Linked DNA regions of Arabidopsis thaliana. The protein of the gene in region 3 interacts with the protein of the main gene of each other region in a pairwise test. Each region holds a gene or a part of one and is shown on either strand. Other genes may lie near its edges.

What was found.
Region 1: the proteins of POB1 (region 3) and SVP interact in a two-hybrid assay, tested with the Arabidopsis thaliana proteins (one large-scale study listed by BioGRID).
Region 2: the proteins of POB1 (region 3) and AT1G16640 interact in a two-hybrid assay, tested with the Arabidopsis thaliana proteins (one large-scale study listed by BioGRID).
Region 4: the proteins of POB1 (region 3) and AT3G07260 interact in a two-hybrid assay, tested with the Arabidopsis thaliana proteins (one large-scale study listed by BioGRID).

The regions. Positions count from the first base shown.
Region 1 is NC_003071.7:9,576,428-9,586,414, reverse strand, and holds SVP (K-box region and MADS-box transcription factor family protein), read right to left. Parts: upstream 6,769-9,987; 5' UTR 5,999-6,768; coding exon 5,817-5,998; intron 4,910-5,816; coding exon 4,831-4,909; intron 4,545-4,830; coding exon 4,480-4,544; intron 4,365-4,479; coding exon 4,265-4,364; intron 4,180-4,264; coding exon 4,138-4,179; intron 4,027-4,137; coding exon 3,985-4,026; intron 3,514-3,984; coding exon 3,472-3,513; intron 3,374-3,471; coding exon 3,222-3,373; intron 2,831-3,221; coding exon 2,812-2,830; 3' UTR 2,514-2,811; downstream 1-2,513. Other genes in the region: NET2D (Kinase interacting (KIP1-like) family protein), read right to left, coding at 1-326, 430-523; AT2G22530 (Alkaline-phosphatase-like family protein), read left to right, coding at 8,974-9,104, 9,182-9,278, 9,354-9,398, 9,480-9,647, 9,737-9,821, 9,909-9,987. UniProt on the Arabidopsis thaliana protein: Transcription repressor that inhibit floral transition in the autonomous flowering pathway, independent of photoperiod and temperature. Acts in a dosage-dependent manner.
Region 2 is NC_003070.9:5,682,996-5,689,691, reverse strand, and holds AT1G16640 (AP2/B3-like transcriptional factor family protein), read right to left. Parts: upstream 3,168-6,696; 5' UTR 2,930-3,167; coding exon 2,864-2,929; intron 2,498-2,863; coding exon 2,159-2,497; 3' UTR 1,965-2,158; downstream 1-1,964. Other genes in the region: AT1G16650 (S-adenosyl-L-methionine-dependent methyltransferases superfamily protein), read right to left, coding at 1-80, 242-381, 591-695, 1,045-1,119, 1,214-1,297, 1,402-1,497, 1,576-1,698; AT1G16630 (uncharacterized protein), read left to right, coding at 4,943-6,696.
Region 3 is NC_003074.8:22,791,765-22,800,107, forward strand, and holds POB1 (POZ/BTB containin G-protein 1), read left to right. Parts: upstream 1-3,657; 5' UTR 3,658-3,939; coding exon 3,940-4,198; intron 4,199-4,290; coding exon 4,291-4,425; intron 4,426-4,520; coding exon 4,521-4,642; intron 4,643-4,739; coding exon 4,740-4,803; intron 4,804-4,982; coding exon 4,983-5,262; intron 5,263-5,363; coding exon 5,364-6,189; 3' UTR 6,190-6,289; coding exon of another isoform or gene 6,290-6,305; 3' UTR 6,306-6,560; downstream 6,561-8,343. Other genes in the region: HWS (Galactose oxidase/kelch repeat superfamily protein), read left to right, coding at 904-999, 1,138-2,385; AT3G61610 (Galactose mutarotase-like superfamily protein), read left to right, coding at 7,716-7,826, 7,905-7,979, 8,074-8,130, 8,215-8,343.
Region 4 is NC_003074.8:2,306,315-2,313,166, reverse strand, and holds AT3G07260 (SMAD/FHA domain-containing protein), read right to left. Parts: upstream 3,559-6,852; 5' UTR 3,464-3,558; coding exon 2,881-3,463; intron 2,710-2,880; coding exon 2,537-2,709; 3' UTR 2,184-2,536; downstream 1-2,183. Other genes in the region: AT3G07255 (nuclear transport factor 2/RNA recognition motif protein), read left to right, coding at 4,841-5,294, 5,451-5,878; AT3G07250 (RNA-binding (RRM-RBD-RNP motif) domain nuclear transport factor 2 family protein), read left to right, coding at 6,696-6,722, 6,805-6,852. UniProt on the Arabidopsis thaliana protein: May play a role in the control of plant organ development. Does not show transactivation activity in yeast.

The DNA.
Region 1 (9,987 bases), on a different chromosome or scaffold from region 3:
ATCCTTAACAGGCAGTTTGGGAACATTAGGGACATTAGCACCAGAAATATTCGATCTTTTAGCAAATTTAGACATATCAATATCATCATCCATGGCAAAGTTTGGAACTTGATCAGGAAAAACAGAGGCGATCGTCGTGTTAGCATTTTGAAGCTCTGTAGAAATATGATCATAACGTTCAGCTAAAGCTCTATAAGCTCTGTAAGATTCTTCAACGAAGCTAATGAGTTCTGGTCTCTTCTTATAATACATCTCTGCACGCTTCGCAAACGAATCTCCATCTTCTTGTAATAGCTTCAACACATATTGAACCTTCTCTTCAATATCTACAAATTCATATCCAAAACAAAAAATAGATCAAACCTCAAAGATCTCAACTTTTTAGAAACAAACACCTATATAAAGAGACATGGATTCAAAAGGAGAGACCTTGAAGGTTTTGTTCGAGCCATTTAGATTGTTTGGTTCGAATATGACTCGCCCACCACCATGAATACGCATTACTCGCAGCTCGTTGCAGCATCGTCGTAAAGTTTTCGTTTTTTCAACTCTTTTTGATCGTATTCATTCAAATTCCCAGAAAGATTGTAACTTTGATATGTGTGTGAACCAACAATCTCTCTCTGTAGAGTCTAGATCTTAATAAGAAAAGAAAAAGAAAGAGAAAAGTTTCGGTTTTTAGAGAGACCCACAAGGAAACTTAAAGGTCTTTTTTGGTTGTAAATCAAAATCAGAATTGAGGAAAGAACGTGCAACAATTGAATCTCTTTTTTTTTTCTTTCTTTCTTAGAGAAGAGCGATCATGGGTGGGAGCAAACTTCGCTCTTCTTTCTCTCTCTCTACCTTAATAGTATTTTGGTAAAAATATTTTAAAGACTATTAAAAAAAAAATTGTTACAAAATTTTCAATATTTGATTTATATGTACGAATGGTGTTTACACGAATGTTATAGTGCCAGCGTCGTGGTAGGAGAAGTCGGAAGGATTCTCTTCCGATGATTCTTATGAATCATCAAACGTTACAGAACATGTCAGAAATGTATGATTTTATTAAATTAAACTAGATTTTAACCCGCGGTATACCGCGGAGACAATTCATTTTTTAAAATTAATATATATAAAATTTTGTAAATTATTTTATAGTTTACTATTGTTACTAAGTAACGTCCTGCCAAACCCGTCCTTCCAAACCCGTCCACAAAAAAAAACTATTTATTTTATTAATATTGATCTTATTTATAATATGTTTATGAATCATTGTCAAAATATTTTAGTCGTTGCGGGACGTTGAACCCACACATTTTTCGCCAATTGGTTAATATATATGTTCATTCTTAAAATTTCGAATCACAAAATATGACGAAATTTTTTTTGAGATTTTTTTAATTTTATATATTATATAATAATGTTAATTAGTTTTGATAGATTAAACTTTTTATAAATTCAAATATTAATAATGTTTTATGAAGTTTAAATATATAAATAATAATATTTAAAAAATTAATATTTTTTGCCTTTTAGGTAATGATATAATAACTCTAAAAGCAAAAATTTAGAAGATTTAAATCTTTAAATAAATATTTTCATGTCTAAATAATTAATGTGAAGTTTATGCTAATTTTAAGGGATTGATGTGAAGTTTGTTTGGATTAAATTTGATTGATAATGTGATTGACAATTTAAATTAAAAATTTAATGTAAAATTAATTATTTTGGAAAAAAAATTTAATGTTAATGGCATTGAGTTGTAAATAAATCTAACTCTAAGATTTATTTGCTAAAATAGCTGCAAAAATGTATATATAGATTAATCTGACAAAGAATTTTAGTGGATAAAGGAATGTGAAAATGTCGTTTTGTTTAATAAAAAAGTTGTAAAGATGTTGAAGCAAGCAAAGAATTTAATCATTAAGTAATTGAATCTTAAAGAACTTTTTTCCCCTTTGTGACGGTTTAAACATAAAACCGGACACGTTTTGATGAACCGGTCAAAGGTCGGTGTGTAACGATCCGACCAGAACCTTCTTTCTTGTGCAAAGTATCTCTAAAACGTCAAACCTCATTATATAGAGGCCCATTTACTGAATTTTGAGAAAATCTGAAACTTTTTTAGATTTTGGACGTTGTGTAACGAATGATGAATTAGAAGCAAAGTTTCAAACCATATTCATATTTCTTGTTGCTAACATAATGAATCGTATGAATATGGTTTGAAACTTTGCTTCTAATTTATTATCATAGAACTCAGTCTCATCCAACCGCACAGCTCCAACTAAACTACAAATGTGTTTCTCAAACAAGACACATTGCAAGTGTCACACACACAAGTAAGATCATCAATTCACCAGAATCATCACCAATGAAGACACTTGAAATCTCTGGTCTGAGAAAACTTGTAAAACTTTGCAACAAATTCAACAAAACAACAAGATGAATTCGAATCACACTTTTGTTACACTAAAATTTCTAATGAGACTGAGTCCTATGATGATTATTAGTTATTTGAGGCATCACTAAAATATATTTTTGATCCCTAACCAAGAGTATATCGATAATCAAAATTCTACAATATTTTATATTCTAACTTTCCATAACGAGAAAGTTTATCGGTGACAAGCGTTACTAACCAGAAATGCAGTGAAGAGAGATCATACATAGTGAAAATCATAAAAATGAAAGCCTCTTCCATAGGCAGAAACTTACACAAACATTTGAGAATTCACTACTTAGACATTGTCTCTTGTTACTACCGAGTTAAAAAGATTTACATTACTCTCCTCACTCCATCAACTTCTTTGAATTGTTCCATCTCTAACCACCATACGGTAAGCTGCACAACACCATACATTAAATCAATAACTTATTTTTTAGAGTGATTTTGTAGATGATTAGATTTGTGCCAGAATTTTCAAAAAACAAACCATAAATAAGTGGTGTTTTTTATGACAGGTAATTTTAACAAATAGCATGATATCATGTAAAATATACAAAATAACATGTTATTTGTTAGAATTACAAATATACAACAAATAAACCAAATTTATTTACGATTCTGTGTCATCCATATCTTGCAATGCCAATAAATATGGACAACATACATGTATATGGTCGTTTAAAGTATATATTTTTATATTCTTTGTCTCAATTTAAAAACAAAAAAAAAATCATGTAAAGCTATCAACTCAAAAGAATGTAAAAAGAAAGGGTGATTAATTGGTTACCCGAGCCTAAGGGAAGTGTCGGAGCTCTCGGAGTCAACAGGCGCTCCGGTAGAGTTTCCGGCGTTAGTAATAGACTCCGACGACTGTCCTTCCTCGTACACAGCAGCGTTCTCCGATTCAGCACCACCGTGTGCATGCACATTGTTACATATCTACACGTAACCAAAAAAAAATATTCCAAATTTAACATTAAACTGATAACAAACATACAAAATTCAAAATAATCAAGACTATATATATATCCACGTACTTGCATGCCAAGTCGCTCGTTCTCTTCCGTTAGTTGCGTTCCCTGCAAAAATCAAGACAAAACATATCATTAAGTTCTCTAGCTAAGTATTTGCATTTTGTGTTTTTAGTGGCACCATGTGTTTTGAATTTCTCTAGAGATCAACTAACTACGAATGAGCAAATCTTGACATGAAGCCTCGACCAAACTATATATCAAACAAGAATTAGATATATATTCGTTTATGGTTCCCTGTTTCAAAAAACAAAATGAAGATGAAAAAGAAAAAACGCACCAAATCCATGCATGCACACTCGTAGACCTCTAGGACCCTAGAGACTAACTAGCTACATGGTTACCTTTAGTTTTAAAGACATTTTTAAATCGCGCTATATCACTTGGTTTATTCATTTATCTCACAGTATGATCAAACATATGTGTTGTAGACAACTGGGGATTAAATTTAGGGGTGTGTACGTTAATGGTAGACAAAAGAAAGGGATTTGTTATCAACAGAGAGGGTAAGACACATACTTGCTGCCTCAACCGCTTGTTCTCATCCATCAATTGCATTCCCTGAACACCAAAAAAAAAGAGAAGAAGATGAAAATTTTGGATCTTGAAACTGCCAAAATTAATATTGAAATCATCAAGTAAAGAATAAACGTTATTTTGGTTAATTATTACCTTTTTCTGAAGTTCGCTGATCTCACTCATAATCTTGTCACTCTGCAAACACATCTCGTATTAGTAAATTGCATACTCGTAAGCTTAGAGAAACTTATACATGGTATCAAGTAATTTTCTTAACAACCTTTGTTTCAATCACACGCGTCAAACCAGTTTCAAGGGCCTTCTCTAGCTGCTGAAGCTCTTCAATGTCAAGTCCTTGAAGTTCCTCTCCTCTCATTTGCCTATATATGATCATGTAAACACACAGTTAGAAAATGATAGTGGTTGATCAAAAAAAAAATTAGTTAGAAAATGATAGTTAGTTCAAAAGTCATAGAATATACATATATAACGTACCTTAGTCGGTGGCTCTTGTCCGCAATTTCTTTACTCATTCGGGCGTGATCACTGTTCTCAACCAGCTAACAGAATAAAACATTGATTTAAGCTCTTAATCATATCCATAATGATCTAAAGCTCAACTCTCTACACAGGACTACTCTACATGACTACTACATGGATCGAGTCTAATTAATCATATGCAATAATATAAAGTTTTGTACCTATTAATACAAAGTTTTAAGAGATTCTTGGTCAATAAATACAACAATCTAAAACATATTGGTAATTCAACGGAGTAATACTCGATTTTGCAAGTTACAGAAATCGGGAAAGAAAATGTGTGGTCGTTTCGAGAATGTAGCTAACCTGTAACTCAAGAGATGGCTGATCAAGCTTCTCCAAGTTCTTTGACTGCAAGTTATGCCTCTCTAGGACTTCCTTCATGCTTCATAATATAAACACATTCCAATAAATAACTTATTATAAACAACTATACTGTTGATATTAACAATGTGCATATGTAAACACCGACAATATACCAAAATCTAAAATCAAAAGATGCAAACCAAATCCACAAAACACATTTAATCCCAAACATGTACATTATTTCATGTTAACACTATCGTTTTCAGTTACATATATACACAATTATCTGTGAAAGTGTGTATGTCCCCGAAGATAGGAACTGAGCTGATAACTAGTGGGTCAAAAATCCAAAATCGTATCTCTGTAATACGATAAGTCATTTTAGATCCCTAATATCAATAATATCTCTCTAAATGACTTTTCCCAACACTAATAAAGATTCCAACATATCTATACATATACATATATATATATATATTATTTTTAGATTACTTCTTCAAAGGGAAAGCTTTATACATCCACACATATAGATACTTCCTCATGTTATGGTACCCACATATTTCTATATAAATATGACATTGACGGCTTAAACATATCATACCACAATATCTATATACATAGATTTATACATGGTTGACACAAATACCTACTATAGAGCATGTATTTATATACTAATAATATACATATATGCATATCCAGATTTACATCTTTTTGAATATTACCGTAGTTAGATACCTTAATTTATCTAAATACAGAGTTTTACTATACACTTTATATATGTCATTTATGGTCATGATTAATGTTTCTAACAACTATTTTAATTATATAAATAGTTAGTGGTCCTATAAAGATTGATACAGTAAACTCCTATGTATCAGATATACATCTAAAAACTCTTTAAAGTTTTTTGTCTGGATCTAGACAAGATTCCTTCGATGAGTTATGAGAAATCTATAGAGAGGGAAGTTAGAGAGAGAAAGAAAGACCTGGAGCTACAGAACTCGAACAGTTTTCCGGTGGAAGAGAAGATGATGAGAGCGACATCGGCGTCGCAGAGAACGGAGAGTTCTTCAGCTTTCTTGAAAAGCCCTCTTCTTCGTTTCGAAAACGTCACTTGTCTCGCCGTTGCGTTGTCGATCTTCCTGATCTGAATCTTTTCTCTCGCCATCACAACGAACAAAAAAACCCTAGAAGCAAGAGAGAGAGCTTAGGTTTTGATTTTAATGGATCTTTCGAGAACGGGATTGATTTTGATGGATCAAGATTCAAGAATGAGAGATGATTAAAGAGAGAGTAAAGAGAAGAGATGGAGGAGGAGGAAGAAGAAGCCAGAGGAAATAAATTTTGTGAGAGAGAGAATTTTTGCTAAAAAGGGAGACTTTAAAGAAGAGAGAGAGAGTGACAAGACGACTGAAATGGAAAGTAAATCGTGTTCTTTTTGCTAAATTTAGAAGAATAAATATGATTTCAAGACAGTAAAAACCCTAGTTTTTGAAAGATTTGAAAGAAAGAACACACTCAGTCTTTTGTGAGAAGAATTAGATCTAGTCGATGAATCAACAAGGAAATTAGAGAGGATCAAAAGAAAAAAAACTCAAGAAGAAGAAGAAAACTAAAGGAGAAAAAAAGCTAAGGGAATATATTTAATTTTCCACCTCAAAGGTCGAGGAGAGAAGAAGACATGAGAAGGTTTTGATTGGTGAAGGATGAGATATTTTCAGGGAGAGGTTTATTAATTTTATAATACTATCAAGATGATGGGGTTTCTTAAATGATTATTTTTGGAAAGAAAACGATATATATTATATTTTTAGTTTTAGTTTTTTTTTTGGATATTGGTCTGTGTGTGGTGGTTATTGGATATGGTGAGGTAATAGGATTTATAAGTCTCCAATGAGATGAGAGAGAGAAGAGAAGTGTGTGTTTGGGTCAGTGGGGAATTTCTTTTTATAGGGAAGCATAAAATGAGTTGTCTCACTTTGTTCACTTATACTCCTTGTAACTAATTGGTTGGTATTTACTGCAAAAACTAACTAGAAGACCTGAAGAACATCAAGGGCTACAACGTATTTTCATTTTTGTAAATCTACGTACTATATGGTAATGGTACCTCATAACAAAATTCAGAAAGAACAAAATAATATCAACTGTATATTATTTTTATTTATGTAAAAACATTTGGGAAGATGACATTTCAGAATTTTTCTGAGGACAATGTTTTGTTTTTACTGAAAGAAATAAGTTTGTGAGTTCGGCCTTGGTTTGTAAGAATCCAACTCGGAAATGACAAAATAATTTGTTAATTTCAAAGACATTAGTGCAATAATTTTTGAAAATTTAGTAGTCAATCATGTGGCATATAACTTGTCGAAAAATTGTGTCCTTAAAAAAAGAGGTTTGTAACCTAATGAACCATATCTACTCAGATACATGTAGTCCATTATACAATTACAATCTATGCACTAATTTGGAAAGTTTGTCATGCACAAATAAATTTTGTTCAATCCCAGTAACAATTACACACACAATGGGGGTATCAATCATCACTGAAGTATTTTTTTATAAAACCAATTGAATATGTAACTCAAAATAAAATTTAAATGAAATCACTTTCTTACGAGGTTATTTATCATTTAACATTTTAATACATAAGCTCAACATTACAAATCACATATACTTCACCAACGTCAACAACAGAACCAAACATATGATTTCAATCGCCACAATCATCATTCCATAGACTAAAAAGCAATTTACAAAACCGTGATTAAAGGTAAGAAAATAAAATTAAAGGGTTTTTAAAAATAAAATAATGTTTAAGCATACCTTCATACGAAGAAACAGTGAATAGAGGGACCCTCGAGGCACGAGCCAGAGTAAAATAAAAAGTGTCGACCACTAAAATTTTTCAAAGGGACCCAAAACCAGACCCGAAGCAGCCACAAGAAATCTGATTGGGACACGATCCATTGTCCGTACAGAATTTTATTTCTAAATTAAAGTTTTACCCAAATAAAGATACTCCACGCAACTACTACAAACCCATTCTTCTTCTCTTTATTACTCCAAGTTTGCAATAATCTACCCTTCAAGAATACATGTGGCTCGTATCACTCACCCCCTATTTGAGTATTATTTACTCTTCCGACGAAACTCTTGTGTTGTATTATTGCGAATTTATTATGATACTATATGAATTATGAAGTTGCAAACGGTAAAAAAGTCATATGGTTGATGTGATTAATACGGTGTTAAATATAATTATGGTTTGCGTTAATTTACTGTAAACTCTTTTCTTTTCTTCTTTAACTCTTTTCTATCTAATTGGGTAATCAAGCAAATATAGTTGAATTATAATTTGAAATTTTTGTTGACAACAAAATATTAATATGGTTTGCGTTTGTGTTCTACGAGTAATGGAATTATGGAAGTTTTTAAAACAAAAATGTAGTATTTTTTGAAAATTTTGATGACGTATATTAGAAAACACTAGAAAACAAAACCTTCTAGTGGTTAAAGTTGCTAGGAGAATAACTATAAGAGAGGTGGCCTGATCGATATTACTTATTTCGGCATAATACATATTCCTTTCTAACGTATTTTAAACAAAGAAAATCGTTGAGTTTTTTTCAGCTTGGTTTGGTTTCGAAAAAAAAAAAGTTTGTTCACTCACAAAATTATTATCAAGTAATGTTTATTCATATTTGTCATGGTTTGGTAAAAGTAGATTAAATTTGGTAGAACATCCATCAATTGGCGTTTGGAACCGCATGAATCATTTATATTTGAAATTGAATAGTGTTTAGAGGCGCACGTGACACAACTGGTGAGGTCTTTGAGTTTTGATTGGTCAAAGTGTCAGAGTTTTTATGAGTAGACGACTCGTGACCTTTCCCTTAACAGTTCCAAGCCTCTCTAATGAAACATTGCACCTAACCTTTTAGCCATTTTAGGCTTCTTTCTTTCTACACAGTCCCTACACTACACACTCTCTCTGACACATCAAGGAAACTACAGTCACCGTTATCATAAAGCGGAGTCCCTAATGGGCTTTTTATTATTATTGGGCTTTTATTAGGCCCAAATTTTCCTTACGAGTAAAATAAGTATTATTTTGGTTCAGTTTCTCGCCGGATCCTGAAAATGACGACGGCGGCGATGACTTGTACGAGACTGACGATATTTACGGTGGCCGGAATATTACTTCAGATTATTGGCCTCTCCATTTTCGTATTCGGTTTCTTCCCCGTCAAGCCGACTCTCTCCGGCGTCAGGTACTACTAAATCAATAACATTTGAAGTCGAAGAAGAAGAATCTACGCTCTATTGATTTGTTTATTTGAAATGGCAGTGGCTCGGAGAGCTATCGAGATCCATTCTGTGATTCTTCTCTGATTTCGAACGAATCGGAGCTTCATCATCCAGAGAAACTGAGATTGCTGTACCAGGTATTTGTCTCTTTTGTGAATCCAAAAACAAATGTGTAAAGTTCCCTTTTGAGTTTGATAGTGGTGAATTTGTAGGAGTTATCTGGAATCTCTTCCAAATATGATCGACTGATTTTAATGGTATGTTGCACTTTGTTAAAATTTTGATTTTGATCTTTGTGAGAGAGTGTTTTTGAGGATGTTAAAGCGATGCTAGTTTAGGTTATTGATGGGCTACCTGCGGAGTTCGTTCTTGGGAAAGATGGTAAACCTCCAGAGAAGGTTTTGAAAGAGTCTATGCCTTATACTCAGTCACTGTTAGCTAATGGAGATGCTATTGGTTACCATGCTAAAGCAGCTCCTCCAACTGTTACCATGCCGAGGTTAAAGGTGTGTGTATAGTTGTGATTAAGTGGATGATCACAGTCTAAATGAATTTATTTGCTTGCTTAGTTGATAGAATTCATTGTTTTTTTCAGGCAATGGTTTCTGGGGCAATTGGTGGTTTCTTGGATGTTGCTTTTAATTTTAACACACAAGCTCTCTTAGATGATAATATTCTTGGTAACTATTAGTTTTCAACAATGAGAAATTTTTCATGCTTGCAAACATTGAAAGAAAAGCTATGTGACATTGGTCCAAATTTACCAGGTCAGTTTTTCAGGATTGGTTGGAAAATGGTGATGCTCGGTGATGAGACGTGGCTCAAGTTATTTCCAGGGCTATTTAT
Region 2 (6,696 bases), on a different chromosome or scaffold from region 3:
CAGTCAAGGCCTTCAACATTTCTGTGGATAAAACACGGCATGTAATCGTCATTGGAACATCTGGGCACTTGTTTCCTGAACTAACAGAGAAGAGGTTAAGTAGCATTCACAAGTCTAAAATACCAGAACTGTGCACAAAGAATTAGGAAAACAATGAGCGACTCTTCAAGCTAAAAATGGAAAGAGACATCTGATACTTGGTAAAGGTTTGAAATAAACTTATAATGAGCTAACCCCTTACCCAGATTTACGCATCTGTGCTGCAAAATGCTTTTTTATGCGTGCTGCGCGTGCATCTGTTACCTTTCCATGATGAGAGGAAGAATCGATTGCAACCACTGAGTGCTTATATTGGAAAGAGAGAACCTGCGCTAGATAACCCTGGACAAAACATTTACCAATGATGTTATTTAACACACTTTAGGAAAGCTATAATATACTACAAAGTTACTAAAACTCTGATATGAAAGAAAAACCATCACTCGAAATATTCCTTAAACAGCCAAAAAGAGAATTCACCAATGCAGACGAGAAAAAGGAACCATGCAATTAAGATTGATAGTTAAACAAGAGAAAGGGATTGAAGATACCTGGCCAGCACCGACATCAACAACAGTAGGAGCTCCAACACTCTTAACAACTGAGCTAACAACAGAGGAAAGAACTTCAACCTGCATGATACCATAATAAGTGACCTACAGATCCATTCAAATGAAGTGGCCAGTATAAGATACATTTGACAAATACCTTACGTTTAAACAAACATAAGTTTTGTACTAAGAAACTTTTATATAAAATGCTATGAGCTGTTAATGATCCTCAATTTCATGTTTTACGCGTGAAGTGGCAGATAACTTTGCCAGAATTTGATGGTAAAAAGACTTGAACAGCTACAAAAAAAATATATACTCTCTTTTGAATTTAAGGTTCTTGGATTGGGATTAGTCACCAGATGCAATCTACTGAAATTCCTACCAAAACAAGACATCATTGAAAGACACGACTTGCACCTCTGGATAGTGAAGTGTGAAGATAAAAATGTACCTCATGTTTTTTCTTAAGATTCATGCCCTGTGAAAGAACGGTGCTAAGAGGTACCATATCCACGTCTGCGAGTATCTGCCAACAGTCGAAAATGATTAAACTTTATTTAGTCTAGGATCTAAAAATACTAATCCTGAAACAGCACAAACAGGTAAAGAGAATACAATACCGCCTGTAAATCCGCTTGCTCTCGAGGAAACGATAGAGACCTCAACGTGTGAACAAATTTCTTTAGTGAAGCAGGCCAGTGATCCTATAATCAAATACTATAATCAATCATCTCCTTTCCAAACTAAAATAAAAATCTACCCTTTCTATCAAATATCTCAATCATGAAGACTGAGACCAGAACTTTACCTGGACACCACCGGAGGGAATAAGAAGAATATTTTCCGGCTTCTCATCCTTTAAGCAACTCATCCATTCCTCATTAACAGCTTCCCATTGCTTATCCTGGAATACAAACCCATCAATCAACTCATAACCCAACTCGAAGCTGAATTTAAAATTGTTTCCGATAATCGATCATACCTTGAAGAAATTGACAACGTGAGCATTGATTAGGAAAGAAAACGGTTTAAGGAAATCGATAATGGCTGTGATCCATTCTAGGGTTTCGGCTCTCGTTTTGCAAGAAAACTTATTGCTCTTCATTATCCCGATGACCTGAGTAGCAGCAACGATTCTAGTTTCCGCCGCCAAAAGCCAACCAAACAGCAAACACTTGCTTTTAACCGTCAAAATGTTTTCTAAAAATACCTCGTAAATTTTAATTTATTCAATTTAGCCCACATTTATTTATTCTGTTGTCAATACACCCATATTGTCACGTGGCCGAGTCTTCAAGAGACTCTAACTGCACCGGAAGGTTTTGACTCATGCCCCCTCCTACACTTCCTCTCATTCTCTTGTATTAACACTCTACTTCACCAAATACAATTATCACAAAAATGATAGCAATACACAGTAAATCTTTTAAACCATGTTCCAAAGAATGTAGCAGAAAGCAAATACTAGTATTCGTAATATTTAAACTAAACAACTGGTTACATAAATCCAACATGAAAACTGACTACTTAAACTTAAAGCAACTTAAAGTAGACCCAAATTTTAGTTACTGATGTTTGTCTTGATCGTCGCCGTCTTCTTCTTCTTCACCGTTTTCATAGTCATCAACCTCTACTGCGACTTGAGGGAAGTCTCTATATTCGCTACACATGTTATGACCATATATGATAACATAAAAGGTCCTGTCGCGGTCATAGATGAACTGCAAATACTTGCCATCTTCGAGATTGTTATCTTTTACAAAATTCTCCCAACCAACTGTAAGAAACACTTTCTCTCCTCTTTTCTTCATCCTAACCGTCCAAGATCTCCCACTATAGTCCAGGAGGTCCACAGTTATTGGAAATGGTGCTGGGAAGTATTCGTTGAATCCCAAGGGGATTTCCTAATCAAACATTTATATATAAAAAAACAACTCTCAGGAGACATTCCAAGAGCAGCAACGTAGAAACAATGGACTTGCTATTTTTCACTTTTCAGCCCCGCAGAAATGTTTGGTTCAAGCAGCCTATAACAACACCAACACATAAACTTCATTCTAAATCTAGCAAGATTCAGTAAGCTTTCATTTGCTTTTTGCTAATTTAAAGCTAACAAAAGCAATTAAAGGACCTAAGTTATTAGCTCCATGAAAATGAACTAAAGCAATTTACCCTAAACCATAAGTCTCCAAATCAGAACACTAAACACATATTTTGAACTTGTTGAAATAAGAAAATAAAAAAGAAGAAAGATAGAGAGCCATGCTCACCAATGATTTAGATGACTTTTCTGAGATGAAAGGCTTCATAAATTGAACCTCACCAGTGTCAGCCATGGAATAGAGTGAGACCAAATGTAGCTACAAGCAAAATCCAGAAATTGAAATGAAGAAAACAAAGAGAAGTGAAAGAGAGAAACCTTGAAAACAAACACTTTTTGTAATGCAGAAACAGAGAGAGAGCTTCAATGGTCCCGAGTGGACTATTTCAATTTTCTCTGTAAATCAAAAAGATGAAATGAGGAATTGATGTCATAGTCAAACAACTTGCCACCTTTTGACCAATCACTGCTTTTCTATTCTACAAGGCCACACCATACAAAAAGTACAAAACCAAACTCTTATTACTATTGGGCCAAATTATACAGCCCAATAGCCCAATAACGAGCTGAGACAAATCCTATCGACCTAGAAGATCCAACTTAAAACCCTAGAGTTCTCTCCACTATTTAAAGACCTCAAATCTTTTGATGTACGACTCAGAATTCTTCGAAACAGCGTCTGCTCTAGAAATTCAGTGTTTTCTCGAAGCTTCATTACTATTTTCTAGGGAAAAATTTAGAAGTTATTTTGTCTATTGTGTTGTGTTTTCTTAGATTTAAAGTCGATGTTTTACTCTTAATAAAGAGGAGAGAGCGGTGATAATGATGATGAAAGATGATTCCATAGAACAATCCAACTCTGACCATCATTGATGATCTTACCATCATGCACTACCATCTGAATCTCGCTCTCCCTTAAATCCTTTTCTTTTAGTATGAAATCGTTGATTTTGTTTTCTCAGAATCGGATTTTGTCGGATCTTTTAGTTTTGTCTCAATTTGCCTTAAATCGATTGAGAAAAATTCATCATTGGTTGATTTGGTTCTAAGTATTTCATACCAAAGTTCTGATTGTTATTTCTGTTGTTAAATTGATTTGGTATTTTTTTCTTCGTTTGCGTTCATAAGTCATAATGCAGATTTAACTCATATCAACAGGTTGATATTCAATAGCAAAAATTTGGCCTGAAAGAAGGAAAAGTAATCCCCTCAGAATTCAATTCTCATGGACTAAATTAATCTAGAAACGTAATTGTAACAATTGTCTAGAACTATTTTGATGGTAGTTATTCCGAAAACGATTAGTTCTGCAACATGAACACTCATCTTAATTAATCACTTTCGCAGATAATCGCAAAATAAGTTATAAATCCATAAAATTATGAAAGATATTCTGATTTGTGTCGATGAGGTTCACACAGATGTGGTATTTGAGGATGACTTTTAGAAAAGGATTTTATTTCATTGGAACTCAGAAAATAATGTAAACTGGGCCTATTTAGTTAGCCGATGACCAAATTTTCTTTAATGTCAGTCAAAAGCCCGTTAAGTAAAAACCTTCAACATAATTGGTGCTTTCACTTTTTCCATCAGTGGACGGGCCCAAAGCCTGCTTTTCTGATTTACCTGTCTTTTTAATAGGTTGATTAACGTCTCTTACCCTTTACGAGAGCCCATAACGGCTAGTTTATTCTCTGCGATCAGACGTGTCATCATCGTGGCGGCCCAGTTACATCGTCTGCTCTATTTTCCGGCTACAGAAATTGAAATTTTGTTTTAATTTGAACCCCAAGGTTTTGAGAATCATTAATTTCTTCCCACTGTTTCTACATTGTCCATAAATATCCACGTTTATAAATTTAACAACTTTACAGGAAGAAAGAGGAATCAAATCTTACGTTGTGAAGTCTTTAATAAGCATGGGGCATTTAGATAGATCTTAAATTTATGGGGAGATAACAGAAATTTGGAAAACTAGGGTATCAGTGAAAAATGGTCAAAATCAGAATCAATTTGCAATACTTAAAATTATTAGGGATTTTTCTATCCACTATGTATAAATAAATCGCAAATTGGCAACTAGCCGTTACGATCTCTCTATCTCTCTCTCTTTTAAAAATTCAAAAACTTAGGAACTTTTTACATTCACAATCTTGCAGATTCTTGCATATTTTCTTTCCTTTAACGAGCGCAAAAAATCTGAGATTTGTTAAATAACCCATTCTGATTTCCGGAGTGATTTTCATTCATGGCGTCTTCTCCAGCAAAGAACAAGATCTCTGTTTCTCCTTCTTCTCTATTCTCTTCCTCTTCGCCTTCAATGCCTTCCAGACCAAACCCTAAGCAAAGAAACTCGGAAACCGGAGATCTGATGCGTCGCAGTTTCCGAGGCAATCCATTTTCGGCAGATCCGTCCCGGAGAAACTCAATCGGTAGAGAATGCAGTAATCGTGTTGAGATTGGTGATAAAGAGAATCAGAACGACAAGGATCAAATCGCTAATGTCGTCAAAGGTCCAACAAAAGGTTCCAAGCATTTCATGTCACCGACAATTTCAGCCGTTTCCAAGATCAATCCATCGCCGAGGAAGAAGATCTTGTCTGATAAAAACGAAGTGTCTCGATCCTTTGACAAATCCCATCACCAGGTTCAGGTAAAGTCGTCTGTCTCGTTTTCTGATGTGATAAGCATCATTGGGGAAGATAAAGATGTAGACCAGATTTGCATCGATGAAACTAAGCAGCTTCGTGAAGAGGAATCACATGATATTACTGTCAGTGATTTCGATGAGATTCTTGAGAGGAAGAGTAATGATAATTCAAGCTTCAAGATCAGTCCTCTTCCTCCTTATGTTCCATGCACATTTCCTGTGTTTGAGTCTCATGAAGTGGATCCAGTGGTGGCACCTTATGATCCAAAGAAGAATTACTTGTCACCGAGGCCTCAGTTTCTCCATTATAAGCCAAATCCAAAAATTGAGCATCGTTCTGATGAGTGCAAGCAGCTTGAGGAGCTTTTCATCTCTGAAAGCTCTTCTTCTGACACTGATTTGTCTGCAGAACGAGAGGAGGAAGGTCAACAAGAGGAGGAAGTTGCTTCTCAGGAAGGTGTAGTTGCAGTAGAAGAACAAGAAGATGATGGTGAAGAGCGTTTGGAAGCCGCAGAGGAAATTCTGGATGTTGATGGTGAAGAGCGTTTGGAAGCTGTAGAGAGTGATGATGAAGAAGAAGAAGTAGTAGTTGGCGAAAGCATTGAAGAAGAAGAAACTCATCAGATTTCAAAACAGTCTCGTTTCAGCAAGACATCCATGTTGCTTGGTTGGATTTTGGCTCTTGGTGTGGCGTATCTGTTGTTGGTTTCTTCAACGACGTTTTCTCAACAAACCATCACAGATTCACCTTTCTATCAGTTTAACATCTCTCCAGAGATCATAATGTCTGCTAGCGAGAACTTTGAGCAGTTGGGTGCAAAGCTGAGGATGTGGGCAGAATCATCATTTGTGTATCTTGATAAGCTGGTCTCAAGTCTACGAGAAGAGGAGGGAAGTGTTCCTTTTCAATTTCATAACTTGACAGTTCTTTTGGAAGACAAAAGGTTGTCTGATGCTGTTTTCCAGTCAACTAGTGTTGAAATCATTGTTGATGGGTTCATAGTGGATAGCTTAGAAGTGGATATAGAAGAAGTGAATGTTGGTCATCAGGAACCTGAAGAAGAATCGGAAAACAGTGGTGAAATCAGTCTTGAAGCTGTCTACGAAGAAGATGATAATGAAGTCGAGCAGGAGAATGAAGAAGGAAAGGTAAACTTAGAAATTGTTGATGAATGTGATGAGCAGGCTGAGATCAAGATAGCTACAGATACAGAGGTGAACGGAGGTGAAAGGTATTCAGAATCTCTTTCTGAAGAAGGACATGGTGGCCAAGAAACTGATGTTGTTGAAGGGCAGGAAGAATATGAAGAAAATGACCAGAATAACATGGAAGAAGCTGAATCCGACGCACA
Region 3 (8,343 bases):
GTTCTAATTTTTGTTTTTTCTTTCTTTTGCAAATAATTAAATTATTGTATATTTAATACTCACATAGTAAAAATTAAGGAAATAACACGCGCTAACACGCGCCTCAACTTTAATCATTTTATTTATTCAAACCCCATTTCGGAAATAAAAATGACAAAAAAAAGAAGAAGAGGAAGAAAAACAGCAAAAACGTCTACTCTTCTCTCATCCTCGCGCTTGCTCTCTCTTCTCTTTTTTGTCTTTCCCTTTCGTCTCTCTATCTGTCTGTATCATTCATTCGTGTTTATTTACAATCGAACCACGAAACGTCTCTTCTTCTCTATAAAAACCAGATTTTTCTCAATCTCAATCTCTCTCGCTCTCGCTCTCGTTTTCTTTGATGAACCCTTTTACTTCATTCTTACTCTTGATAAATCCAAATTCCCGAGAAACCCATTTCATTTCCTTCTTCTGTTTCTAGAAAGACCTCTTCTTTTCGATAAACCGAGATCCACGAAACCCGCATTTCCTCTCGCTAATCTATTCTAAATTTCGATACTTTTTTTTTTTTTTTATCGGTTTGAATCTCGAGAATTCCGAAGATTCAGAGTCTCCATAGTCGAAGGTGTGTAGCGAATCGAGATGGGTTTCTGTTTGATTTCACTGTCGCTTTCTCTGCTTTCATTTCTGAGTGGTTCATTGATCTCTTCCGTGTTCGTAATCTATGATTGATGATGTATGTTGTTATCAGATGTTTGATTGATGTCTGCCTATAGTCTAATTTCATTATTAAGAACGTTTTTTTTTTGTATACCTAACATCTAAATTTTGTTGTATTAATTGTCATCAGTGGAATCTTGACGTTGAAAGGATGACACAAGCTTTCTCCTTTTTGTTTTTCTTTTGTCTGAAAAATGTATTGCAATGTTAGACAAAGTCTTAATACTATCTCTCTTCTTCGTCTTCTGCATTTTCGATTTACCATTATGCATGTATGCTAAAGCAAATCTGATTGACAAGGTTTTCTCTTGATTTATGTATTGTTGTTTTGTGTTGTTGAAATGAATGATATTTGGGATTCAGATTCGTAAAGCTTTAAATCTTTATGTGTTCTTTTCTTGGTAATGGATTTATTTATTTTTTGTATCGTTGTTTCAGAGGCTCTTGAGAATGGAAGCAGAAACGTCTTGGACCAATTATCCGTACAGCTACATTACATATGTCCCTGAAGCTGAATCATACCGTGAGCAGAGCGACGATGAAGCCAAAGTCGAAACCTTTTCAATGGATTCTCTTCTCCCTGACGATTTATTAGAACGAATCCTCTCGTTTCTACCCATTGCAAGCATCTTCAGAGCTGGTACTGTCTGCAAAAGATGGAACGAGATTGTATCTTCTCGGAGGTTCTTATGTAATTTCTCCAACAATTCGGTTTCCCAAAGGCCTTGGTACTTCATGTTCACTACCACGGATGATCCATCTGGTTATGCTTATGACCCCATTATCCGCAAATGGTACAGTTTCGATCTCCCTTGTATCGAAACATCCAATTGGTTTGTTGCTTCCTCTTGTGGATTGGTTTGCTTCATGGACAATGATTGCAGAAACAAGATTTATGTCTCAAATCCAATTACCAAACAATGGAGGACGCTTATTGAACCTCCTGGTCACAAATCGACAGATTACACGGCAATGTCTACCTCCGTAAACCGAGCGAACCAAGCAGTAAACCGCGCAAACCGGAGTTACTCAGTCTCGATAGTGAAATCGAAGCAAGTTCCAGGGAATTTCTTCCAATGGGATCTCTCTATTCATCTCTACAGCTCTGAAACAATGACTTGGACAACATTAGTAAACGATGTCTTATCCGGATGGAGAGGAGGGAACGAGAGTGTGATCTGCAACAATGTTCTTTACTTCATGATATACTCAACGGGAGGCTCAGATCATCGCCACGGCTTGATCGCTTCGAATCTATCCTCGATAGGATCACCGTCAAGCGGAATCTTGATGAGGAGTTTCATTCCAATGCCGTGTTCTTTAACCTGCGGGAGATTGATGAATCTAAGAGAGAGGCTTGTGATTGTCGGAGGAATCGGGAAACATGATCGACCAGAGGTTATAAAAGGGATAGGGATTTGGGTTTTGAAAGGGAAGGAATGGGTAGAGATGGCGAAAATGCCTCAAAGATTCTTCCAAGGTTTTGGTGAATTCGACGAGGTTTTCGCGAGTAGTGGCACGGATGATTTGGTTTACATTCAAAGCTATGGATCTCCCGCGCTTCTCACGTTCGACATGAATCTCAAGTATTGGAGATGGTCTCAGAAATGTCCTGTTACTAAAAAGTTCCCTCTTCAGCTCTTTACTGGGTTTTGCTTCGAACCAAGACTCGAGATTGCTCCTTAGTTGCAATGAAGAAGCAAATGGGTCTGTGAAAGTCTTGGTCTTTTGGATTGTTTTTGCACAGAGAAATCGCCGGCGGCTTTATGAAGATGATGATACGGTAATGTTTTTAAATTTTAGTTACTGGAAATGTTTTTCAGGAATATTGTTATTTGCAATTTGGTACTCTGTTAATTATAAATTTATAAAATGAGGCCCAGATACTTTTATTTGAACAAACGAACCCTTCTCTATCTCTCAGTGAAATATAAGAACATTTTTCAACATGTGGCCCACAATATCTCATGTAAATGGGTCGGATTCTGAAACTGGAGGTTGTCTTGTTGCTGTTCCTGGTGGATAAAAATAATGATTTTGTTCCTTTTTTTTCCACATATATTCATAATGATTTTTCATGTTTTATTAATTAATTATTGTTGTAAATTATTTTAAAGAATTATGTTTCTGTACTTGTATAAAATTGGGACCTATTTTCGTGATGGGATTTGTCAGGTTTGGCAGTGTTAGGTTTACGGGTAATGGACAACAGCTATTTTATTGTGTATTTTATCATTTTCTCAAGGGTCACTTATTTTCAATTTTCATAGCTATAATAATTTACTAAATTTTAAAATATAACAAAATGTCATTCATTAGTTATAATCGTATAAAAGTTGACGAAGTGATATATAGATTCTACATACTAAAAACAAAATTAATTTGTGTCATTATGCCAAAATGTCAAAAGGAAAAGAAAATTTAGACAATTACTCTGACACATCAAATCAGCTAAAACCTAACTAAATATACCAAACTAGCAACACATATTTTTGTTATTAAAAGCATTTATAATGATAAATCATGATCAGAATCATAGTAAGCAGATTCGAACACTAGTCTCTCAAATTTCGGTAGTAAAGTTTTCAACCATTAGAAGACAAATACGATTTTAACATCATTAGTATTGTTTTTTCTTTTTTAATTTAAGCGTTGGCTTTCCAAAATGAAATAGTAACAAGCATTAACGAGTTAAGTTGTCAATGGGGGAAGTTAAAACTCTTTAAAACCAAAAAATTGACCACACAACACATATAGTGCCCACTAGTTCTCTCAAACGAATATGGAATACTTTAAAACCCACCTCTATTCTCAAGAATTAAAGCCCAGAATTTCAACGTTCTAAAAATAGTTTTGAAAGATTTGTTTTTCACGGGTTTTTCGTAAAATAATTATGAACAAAACAAATAAATTCAAACTAATTTTTACACGTACAAATCTGACTCCTAGCCTCCTAGATGAAATTCAAAATTTTGTACCAGCAGCTCAAAGCTACTAGGTAAAAAATGTCACGAGAGAAAACCGGAGGAATATTGGTGGTTCATCAATACGAATCAAACCGAACCAAGTCATAAACCGGTTCATAGAAAGATAAGAAGACAGACAATCAGTCATCACTTTGGTCTCGTTGAGCCTTTCGTCTATCTCTCACCTGAAAGAAAGACGTTCAGCTTTCTCTTTCCAAAATCAAAAGCTCTCCGATCAGTTTCTCCGGCTTAGGAAATTAATTGAAGGAAGGTGATGAGAGGTACTACTGAGAATACGGATCTGTTCGATCCCAAAACCCAAATGGATCCTGACTTCACTCGTCATGGTTCTTCCTCCGACGGCGATTTTGGATTCGCTTTTAACGACAGTAACTTCTCTGATCGTTTGCTTCGGATCGAGATCATGGGTGGACCTTCGGATTCTCGGTCTGAAGTTGAAGGGTGTACGAGTATCGCTGATTGGGCTCGTCATCGCAAGAGAAGAAGAGAAGATATCAAGAAGGAATCTGGTGGTATGTAATTTGTTCGTATGGTTTAGGGTTTTTGTTATTGAAGTCGAAGTCCAAGTCTTTTTGGGTTTTAATGTTGTGATTTCATTTTGCAGTCACGATTTCAGACATTGTGGCATGTCCTGAGGAGCAGATTTTAACTGATGAACAACCTGACATGGATGGATGTCCTGGTGGTGAGAATCCTGATGATGAAGGAGGAGAGGCAATGGTTGAAGAAGCTTTATCAGGTACTACTATAGAGCAACATCCTTTGGCGAAGTTTTAGCTGTACACAAAGGAGCTTGTTTTGTTCTGAGAAGTGTTTTATTTATTTAATGTTTAGGTGATGAAGAGGAAACGTCTAGTGAGCCAAACTGGGGAATGGATTGTTCTACAGTTGTTAGGGTTAAAGAACTTCATATTAGTTCTCCTATTTTAGCTGCCAAAAGCCCTTTCTTTTACAAGGTATCTAAATAGGTTGTTGATGGATTTTGCTTTTGCTCTCATGTGTACCTTACTCTTTAATCCATTTGTGTTCTTTTTTTCTCGGAAATGTTGATAGTTGTTCTCCAATGGAATGAGGGAATCTGAGCAAAGGCATGTCACCCTTAGGATTAATGCATCAGGTACGCCATTGCAACATTAGCTATCTGAACGTGTTATTGATTTATCACACTAGATACAGTTGTACCGTTCTCTATTAGGTCCACAGAATCAAAATATGGTTTTGATTTGAGTTTGTTAAGGTAACTTGGAGATTCTTAGATTGATTTACATATTATACTCTACTTTGTGTGTATTACAGAGGAAGCTGCTTTGATGGAGCTTTTAAACTTTATGTATAGCAATGCGGTATCTGTCACCACAGCACCTGCCTTATTAGATGTGTTGATGGCTGCTGATAAGTTTGAAGTTGCCTCTTGTATGAGGTACTGCAGTAGACTTCTCCGTAATATGCCTATGACTCCAGAGTCTGCCCTGCTCTATCTCGAGCTTCCCTCTAGTGTTCTAATGGCCAAAGCTGTTCAGCCTTTAACTGATGCTGCAAAACAGTTCCTTGCAGCCCGCTACAAGGATATTACCAAGTAAAGCCCCTGAAACTACATATCCATGATATTACTGTAATCAAGAGCACATGAGATGGTGGGGCGATTCTTATAAGGCATGTCTAAACTTTCTTTTCCAGGTTTCATGAGGAGGTAATGTCTCTACCTTTGGCTGGAATTGAGGCAATTCTATCAAGCGATGAACTCCAAATTGCATCAGAGGATGCAGTTTATGATTTTATCTTGAAGTGGGCAAGGGCGCAATACCCTTGTTTGGAAGAGCGAAGAGAGATTCTCGGGTCACGCCTTGCACTCTCCATCCGCTTCCCATTCATGACATGCCGAAAGCTGAAGAAAGTGCTGACTTGCAGTGACTTTGAGCATGAAATAGCATCAAAGCTTGTTCTAGAAGCTCTTTTCTTCAAAGCAGAAGCCCCACACAGACAACGTAGCCTAGCCTCCGAAGAATCTGCATCCCTGAACCGCCGCCTGATAGAGAGGGCTTACAAATACAGACCCGTCAAAGTGGTCGAGTTTGAGCTTCCTAGACCGCAGTGTGTAGTCTACCTAGACTTGAAAAGAGAAGAATGTGGGGGACTGTTCCCGTCGGGTAGAGTGTATTCGCAGGCCTTTCACTTGGGAGGTCAAGGGTTTTTCCTGTCAGCTCACTGCAACATGGACCAACAGAGCTCGTTCCACTGTTTCGGGCTGTTCCTAGGGATGCAGGAGAAAGGGTCGGTGAGTTTCGGAGTGGACTATGAATTCTCGGCAAGGTCAAAGCCCGCAGAGGATTTCATAAGCAAATACAAAGGGAACTACACATTCACAGGAGGGAAAGCAGTAGGTTACAGAAACCTGTTTGGGGTCCCATGGACGTCTTTTATAGCGGAAGATAGTCAATACTTCATCAATGGCATTCTCCATCTCAGAGCAGAGCTTACCATCAAAAGGTCTACAGATCCTTAGTGACCGTTTACTTCTCAATTGTCACTGTCTCTCTTTCCTTTACCTGCTGCTAAATCTCTCGCTCTCTCTAACTTGCCTTTTTTTTCTTTTCTTTTATAAGGCTTGAAGAAGACTAATAAAGCTTATAAAAGTAAGGTTAAAAACGTTTCGACGACAACGTTATAAGAAGAATGTAAATGCGTTCTTTTTTTCTATCTACCCTTACTCTTTTGGCTTTGGATTATAAGTTTAACTCTTCAATGAAATTCTTAGCGTAGAGATTCTTGTATTATGAACGAAGTTGTGAACAGAAAAGAACGAACGTAACTCTCTCGTCTCATTTAACTAATTTATCTAGTTGGATTGAAATAGACATGACTTTTCGATTTGGGCCATGCGTATGTTGTTGGAGTTGGACTATTTTAAATTCCTGCAATCAATTTCAAAAAAATTCAAATCATATTGACCGTTGATTATATACCGTACACGTGGTACAATGTCACAGATATCTTATTATAATACTATACAGTTCACAGTCCTTTGTTTTCTTTATTAGACAATCATGAGACAAAGTACTGTAATAAACAATTAATCATACATGGAATTGTGAAGTAACTTTTTTGTTACTCTTTTACCAGAAATGATCAAATTTTACAAATGATTATTTTTTGTTCTAAAATTTATTTTAATGTCTTAGATTAAGGAAAGTAAACTAGTTTTGTAATAAATAAAGAAAAATAATTAAGCTCTTAAATATGTATAAATGATTATGCATTTAAGTATTAAGAAAGTGCAATAGTTTTTTTTATTTTATTTTATAATCAGAGAATCCTCGTGCACCAAGAATCTAGTTCCACTAATTAAGGTGTTATTCTTCTCCTCTAACACCAAATTATGTTTGTATCTCTTATTTAAATTCATTAATGACAGGTTTGACATTAATAAATAATATTTTAAAATATAAAATACATTAGTAATTAAAATTAAAAAATAAATGAGAATAAAGAGTTTCATCTGTATCCCGACGGAAGTTGAGTTCTGTTTCCGCCCATTTCTATCTGAAAGCAATGCACGTAGCCTCTCTCGTCCATCTCCTTAAATTCAACAAGTATTTAATCTCTTCCTTTAAATATAAACTCTCAAGTTCATCAAACTGTTTCCATAAGAACTAGTTTTTCTTTTCTTCAGATCCAATTTTATAAAGCAAACCTGAGATTTTTATTAATATAATATATATATTGAAAAACTTCCAAAAATGAGAGTTATCTGGGTTTAATTTAATTTACTAAACATCAAGATAGCTGTTTTGCTCTTTCTATCGCCATGTGTTCTTCTTCTTCTCCTTCCTTGTCTCTTTTTTTTAATGTTTTTTTGTTTCCTTGAGTGAAGAGTGTAGAAGCTATAGATTTCCAGATCTAGTAACATCGTCTTCATGAGATTTTTGTGACAAAGAAAAGCTCTTTTGTCGTTTTTTCTTCTCTTTTGGCTGTGGAAAAAAATCAGAAAACTTGTCAGTGTGTAAGTTGTTGAGGTTTTCAAAATTGAAAATGGGTCAATATGCAACAGTGTGGGATCAAAAAGAAGCAAGTGAGATAATCAAAGATTGGAATGGCGTTGACCAAGTCCTTCTCAGAAACCCACATGGTGCTTCTGCCAAGGTCTTCACTTTTTCTCCAACCATTCTTGTCTGATAAAAATTCGAGCTTCTTTTGCTTATTCTGTGTTTGATTTTCCAGATAAGTTTACATGGAGGACAAGTGATTTCATGGAGGAATGAACTAGGCGAAGAGCTTCTTTTCACTAGCAATAAGGTATCTGATCTCACTACAAAACCCTGATACATTGTGAAGAATCTGAAACATAAAAAGTAAAAATCTGATTTTTATATTGTTATGAATTTGTTAGGCTATATTCAAACCCCCAAAATCAATGCGTGGAGGGATTCAGATTTGTTATCCGCAGGTAAAATTTACTAGTAGCGCTCACTGAACTGAGATCTTTTGTTGATCACTTTTTCATTGAAGTTTTGTGTGTGTGTTTGTGAAGTTTGGGGATTGTGGATCACTGGATCAACATGGGTTTGCAAGGAACAAAATTTGGGTAATCGATGAGAACCCACCTCCACTTAACTCAAACGAATCCTTAGGAAAATCCTTTGTTGATCTTCTTTTGAAA
Region 4 (6,852 bases), about 20 Mb from region 3:
TAAGAAATTTGGGGAAGTGAGTGAGGCTAGTAGGAGTTAAATGGGCTTATTCTATGCCTCAAATTGTTTTTTTTTTAATCATATAACGGAGAAAAGGGGAAAATATACGATTTCAACCCAAACTATATCTATCGTACATATTTATACGCTAATTAAACTTACCATGAACACAATTTTTAACGCCAAATAAGGACTATTTAAATGTGTTTCACGATATATCTTGTAGATCATGTTGTATTTCGTAATAAATTCATTGTTCAATGTTCAGGTAATAATTGTTGTCGTAAGGTAGTTAGAGAGTACTTCACCAAAAAAAGAAAGTAGTTAGAGAGTATAATTATATTAGTTCGGACTGAAATATGTTTTTACTCGTATATACGTATAATAATCGACCATTTTCAAATACTTTTCGTTTTGAAACAACTTGCAATATAACATAAGAGGATGACATAGCCATATCATTAGCACATACCACAATTATTAACACATAGATATCTCTAAAGTAGGTAGTTCCGTAATTAGTATTTAAACAAGATCATCTCCAATATTCCATTTTTTTTACGGACCATCTCCAATGTTCATTTTTATATTATTTTTTATTTAAGAAATTTTTTTTTATATAAAAAATTTTAGTCCATTATATATATCTAAAATAGAATTTTCTCTAAAATAAAATAAAGGCACATTGAATTATTCTCTATATTTTAAAATCTCCTTTAAAATAAAATAAAATATGCATTAGAAATGTTTTAAATCATATTTTCACTTATCCGCCTAGGCTTTTAACATATGTTTACTATTTTAATTAATGCTGTAATTTTGAAAATCCAAATAACTTCTTGAAAAAGACAAAAAAGTAAAATAGTGTCTGTAACCAATCACTTTTATAGATTTAAATTTGGTCGGATTAAGATTTTGAATTTAGAAAATAGCCTTGTATCTGTATCTAAAAAAAAAACAACGTTGCATGCCACAAGCACGTTTTCCTATTGTTTCTTATATCCTTTTTAATCAAACAAAATTGGAAATTTCGAGGTGATAAGAAAACCAAATACAAGAATCTTATCAAAACCTAGGTTAAATACTTACTAATTAATTTTGATGCTAATCTAATTTTGTAGCAAGGGTAATGACTAATGAGCCTGGAAACAAACTTCAGCTTTACAATCACTGTGAGTTTGTGACTGCAGCAGAAGATTAAAAAAGAAAAGAAAAGAAGAAAAAAACTTCACTCAATGATTGAAAAAAAAAAAAAAAAAACTTCACTCAATATATATATATATATATATATATATATATATATTAATATTAGCAACTCTAAGCACCAACTTCACTCACGTTATCATATGCATCAGTTTTTTTTTCTAAGAATTTTGTCATGCATCAGTCTTTTTCTATTGTTTTTGTAAGTAAAAAAAAAATCGAAGAATCTTACCAAAACCTACGTAAAATACTAAATAGTAATTAATTTATCTCACAAAAAAAACTTAAAACTATCACTCAATAACTTAGGGAGATTTCTCTGTATATTGTTTTAACTTTTAAGTAATAATTTGTAGACAAATAAACATGTAAGCAAGTGCAAGTTGTACGGCAGCAATATATAAAACGAAAGTTGGTACTAAAGACGAAATTATTGGAAAAAAAAATAATAAATGTTATTGCGAACAGCCTAGATCTTGACCACCGATAAAACAAGAGAAGAAAGTTGATTTTTGGGTTTGAATAAAGTGGTTTCAATTTTCATTAGGCCAAAAAGTAAAAACTTAATAGGCTCAAGTTTGTAAAATAAACTTCTAATTTGTGATGATCACTCTTGTGATGTGTTATGTGTTAAACTCCAAACGTTTTTGAATGATTGTATGTGTTGACTTTTAACAGTGTATGCGTTGACTAAGTGATGTACAGTAATGAGACGGGGAAAATCATACTAATATTTCCTTCCGACAACTTTATCTGTACTATGCATAGTACTTTTGAGACAACTTTATCTGAATTTTGTATAGTATACTTTTGGGTTGTGATATATTTTCTCGTTTGATTTTTCTTTTCAACTAAATAATATGCAAACCAAATCCGCTTTCGCCATAAGAAAACAACTAAAAGGTTAAATTTACCCGAGAGTGTATTAATGTTGAATAGCCATATAGGCTATAGTATGTATATGGCTGAAAATAGCTTATGCGATTTCTTGAAGAGAGAGAAAAGGTTAAATCCGAGAGTGTTTTACTCATCAATGTCATTGTCATTCTACATATACAACGTAACAAAGAAAAGCGAGAAAAACTTAATCCGACGAGTCACCAAGGTCAAAACACCTAACACCCACTTATACACTCATTACGTGGAAACATAAAAGATATACTACCAATCATCCTGCTCCTGCACTAACAATCATCTCGATGATTATGAGAGTAGGGTAACGAGGGAAACGAATTCAAGGGTAACTCTTCCCTTTGATCTCGTGTTGATGACGAAATGCTCCGGGTATTTTCTCAGCAGCATCAGCAAACCGTACCATGGTTTACCTTTTGCTTCAGGGATAGCCCAGTCTTCTTGTGATAGGTATCTTCTTACTCGACTGTGATGCCATACGTTTCCATACTCCTTTAATATCTGTCACAGACCAACCACTACCATGCATTAGCTGCAAAAATTGTTGATCATCAGCTTCACGATCTGCCTTTGATCTTCCCTCTCTCTTCTTCTCTGCACAAATGAAGCAGATACAATGTCGTGGTGTCACTATCATTCAATCTAAGTCTAACAAGGTTCAATCATCAACCACCACAGTAAAACTTATACTCAAAGTCTAGAACAAGCCTGAAATCTATTTAGTGACACAATGAAGTTAAGCTATCATGAGCAATTTGGTTTTACCTCCAGAGGCATATACTCCTTCATGTCCATCTCTCCATGTTTTCTTTCCACTGCCTCTGATATCCTCCTCTTCATCGTCGTCTTCATCATCGTACTCATACAACTCTCTACTCCGGACGCCATTCTTACCCGACCCGGAACCTGGACCCGAATGATAATTATGGTACGGAACAACAGTAGCCTTCCCTAAGACGTGGTGCCTGGGTCCCAATGGACCGCCTAGGATACTCCAAACCGGAAGCAGGAAGTAGAACTCCTTGTCACCAATCTGCAAAAGGTCCTGTGAATCGAGCTTGACGTTGGGGTTCCCAGGGAGATGGAGGACACCTTCAACGAAGCAGCCATTTTTGCCAAGTACCTCGAGAGAGAAGCGTCGTCTAGTGAAGTCATAGAAGATCCGAGCGTGGTTGCGAGAAATGTTCATCCCACCGCCGAGAGATGAGAGGTCGACGTCGACGGTCGATTTCTTAGAATTCCGGCCGAGAATAATGGAGTAAGACTGCATATAGTACTCGAAATCCTCACCTTGGAGCTTCGCAAATCCAACCTCTACATCGCTCCCGCTTCCAACGGCTGTAGCCATGCCGTGAAATTTCTCCGATTTTGAAGTCGGAGATCAAATTTGGGGTTACATAGTAATAGAATGTGTTTGGAAACCGGTTTAGATATGTTGTGGTTAAACCGTACAATGAAAAATATAAAGGCTTCTCAAGTAAATGACTATTATACCCATCATGTTTTCAGCCTCTCCACTGTCAATGTTACGGGCCTTACGGCGATCAAATCAAAACGGGCAGTTTGTTTCCACGGCTAACAAAAGAAACAGCTTTAGTTGGGCCTTATCTAAAAAGCATCAGCCCATTAACGTGAACCGGATCTTATGTACATAAACCCAGTAGTATGTAATATTCGGGGATAAGCATGACATTGACATGAATATGGATCATGTGATAACCGTAAGGCTTGAAATTATGATGATAAAATATGATGAAAAGTTCATAAGAATATCGTCACATTTTTGTCAAAGAAATAGCAAAGTCAAGAATGGTTTTCTTTTTCTAGAATCTTTGCTTTACATTTTGTTAAACATTTAATCAACCGAAAAAATCACAACGAGAAAAGAACATTTGCTATATTCCACAGTGTATTCGCAGAATCTTCCTTTGTTTTTCTTGTCAACAATTCAAATAGTCTCAATCCTCTTTCCACTTTCCAGGTGCAATTCATGCAAGAGTAAGGCTGGAACTTGTGATAGCCAAGCTATAATAAAGCAACTTCAACAAGCTATTCCACTATTCGAATAAAGACACGAGTCATCTATCTACTCAACATAATTCTTTACAGCCATTTGTCATCTAGCACGTGCCCATGAAGCCAGCCAAACATGAACCACGTCGACACACATCAGATGAGAATAACCGTTACGGCGTCATTTGCTGACCTGGACTGTCTAACCTATTGCACTGTCTCTCGAAGATGGTCGCCACATGTCAATCCCGGGGTCGTGTTTATGCTCGAGATTCGCGGAGTCAGATACGAACACAAGAATTCAAAACACCCAACGTGTCCTCGTCAAAGCCAGCAGGATCTCAGTGTACACGTGTTAACTGTTTCCATGCACGTGTTACACGTGGCGTCTCGGTACTTTTCGTCAAAATTTTACTTGATTTTTACAACCAATGGAAATAGAAACCAACAAAATAAATGGAAAGCGTTTATCGATAATCCGAAATTGTAGCGCTAATAAAGTTTCTTAACCTTTCTCTTAGTGAATTTTGAAACCGCCCATGTCCACTATCCTTATCGGACATGTGTCATGTTCCGAAGCCTTTACCATTCTCTTTTTAATTATCTCCGCCCCTTATAATATTCCTTTCTCATACAACAAAGTTGGCGAAGCTTCAAAACCCTTCAAGAGGAAAATTTTGCGGAAGACAAGAGACCATCTTTTTGACATTATATGTTTGTTGAATCTTTATCAATGGCAGAAAAGTTTGTAGAAGATGAGAATGTGGAGGTCGAGCTCGAGCTCGAGCTATGTCTTTCCCTGGGAGGTCCTTTCAAGAAAACGGAGAAATCTAAAACATTTGGACAATCTAACGCCGTCGGATTCGAGAAGGATAACGGCGTTAATCTTGACGGCAGAACGACGAATGTGACGAGGATAAAGGAAACACGGAAGAAGCGGGAGGCGAAGCAGCAGCAGAGAAGCGGAGAAGAAGGAGAGTGCAAGAGGATCAGAACAGAATATAACGGAGTTAGTAACGGCGATGATATGGATTTGAGCTCTATCAACATGTGTAACGGTTACGGGTCGGGTCGACTCAAGGAAAGCAGTAAAGACGTTACGATTGGGTCACCCATTTGCACCTCCTCCTCCGTATCCGATCCTAGCAGCTCTTCTCGCCAAGAAGGTATATAACAACCTTCTTTTAAAAATAAACTAAAATTGGTTGGTATATGTATATAGTTTTTTTTTAGTATATAATTCGATGTGTTGATTCTGTTAAAGAATCACGAAAATTATGCTATTTGCATGTAGATGATTTTGAATTATGGTTAATGTTCAGGTGGAAGTGGCGACATTGGGGCACAATCTGGCCAAACCAAACAGGTTAGATCTCCGGTTAACAACATTCTGACCGGTACAGAGCAAACCGTGCATAACACAGACGGTTCAAAAGACGCGGAGACCCAAGAATGGTCCAACTCTTCTGTAACCAAAGAGAGTGGGAAGCCGCCAAAACCGCATACCAACAGTAACGGTAACGGCAGTTTGCTTCCGTTTGCTCAGATGCCTTGCGTGACTAGCACCGGTAACGGTCCCGAGGGCAAAACCGTAAATGGTTTTCTATACCGTTACTCAAAATCAGAGATCAGTATAATCTGCGTCTGCCATGGAACGTCTTTCTCGCCGGCTGAGTTCATCGTTCACGCCGGTGGGACTAATGTGTCGCATCCGTTGAGGCATATAACCGTTGTTCCCTCAACTTTGTGAACTACAAATTTACATATTTTGTTACTCTTTTTGTCTCGTTTTTGTGTATATAAGTTTCACCGATGGACGTTTTGAGTTCGAAGGGACTCTCCATCCATGATTTTCTTAGAGTTTTGTTTTTCCTTGACATTTTTCAACTAATTTTACACTTAATTTGTTGCATTGTCTCTCTTATTAACGTATCAGTAAAAGTGAAGAATTCGTGTAGTTGTATATATATTTGTTTATTTATGCAATTTCATATGGTTTGAATTCGTCAACAAATATTCTCTAGTAATAAAGCAGTTAAAAAGTAACAGATTTTACTAACAAACAAACGAAAACGCTCAACGATTAGTGGCAACAAATGTAAATATAAACATTTTATGAAATTGCATAAATAGGACGAAAAATCCAAATAAAAAGAAATTCTCAGCACCTTCTTTCTCTCGCGCTCTTCGTCTCTTCCTCTGTTCTTCCTTCTGGTGAATAACCGTAGGAACCGCCATTGGAGTGGGTGTGGAAGAACTCGGAGCTACTCAATACTCATATTCAATCTTCTTCACTACTTCGCTGTAATTTCAGGTGAGTCTTCTTTCAGCGATTCCGGTTTATCGTTGGTTCGAGGATTAGATCAGCGATGCATCTTTTGCTTTTGATTTAGTGAAACGTGAAGACAATCTCTATACTTCTTTCGTCATTTCTTAACAAATAAGTCATTTCTTTTGTGTTAGCCGCTGCTTCTCACCATTTCTTTTATGATTATGTTCGCAAGATCTAACGATTTTGCGTTTGGAACTTGATTTGAGATACAGGGCATTGCATATTCTCTGTATCGATGGATCCTCGTCCAAATACTGCAAAGGTGGTATATAGGATCCAACAACTGTATGCTCTGTTCTTCGGATTTCATTGTCCTGTGATTGTAACTCTCTGTATAAACGTAGGTGGGGGATGAGTTTGCAAGGCAGTACTATAACACCTTGCAAAACGCC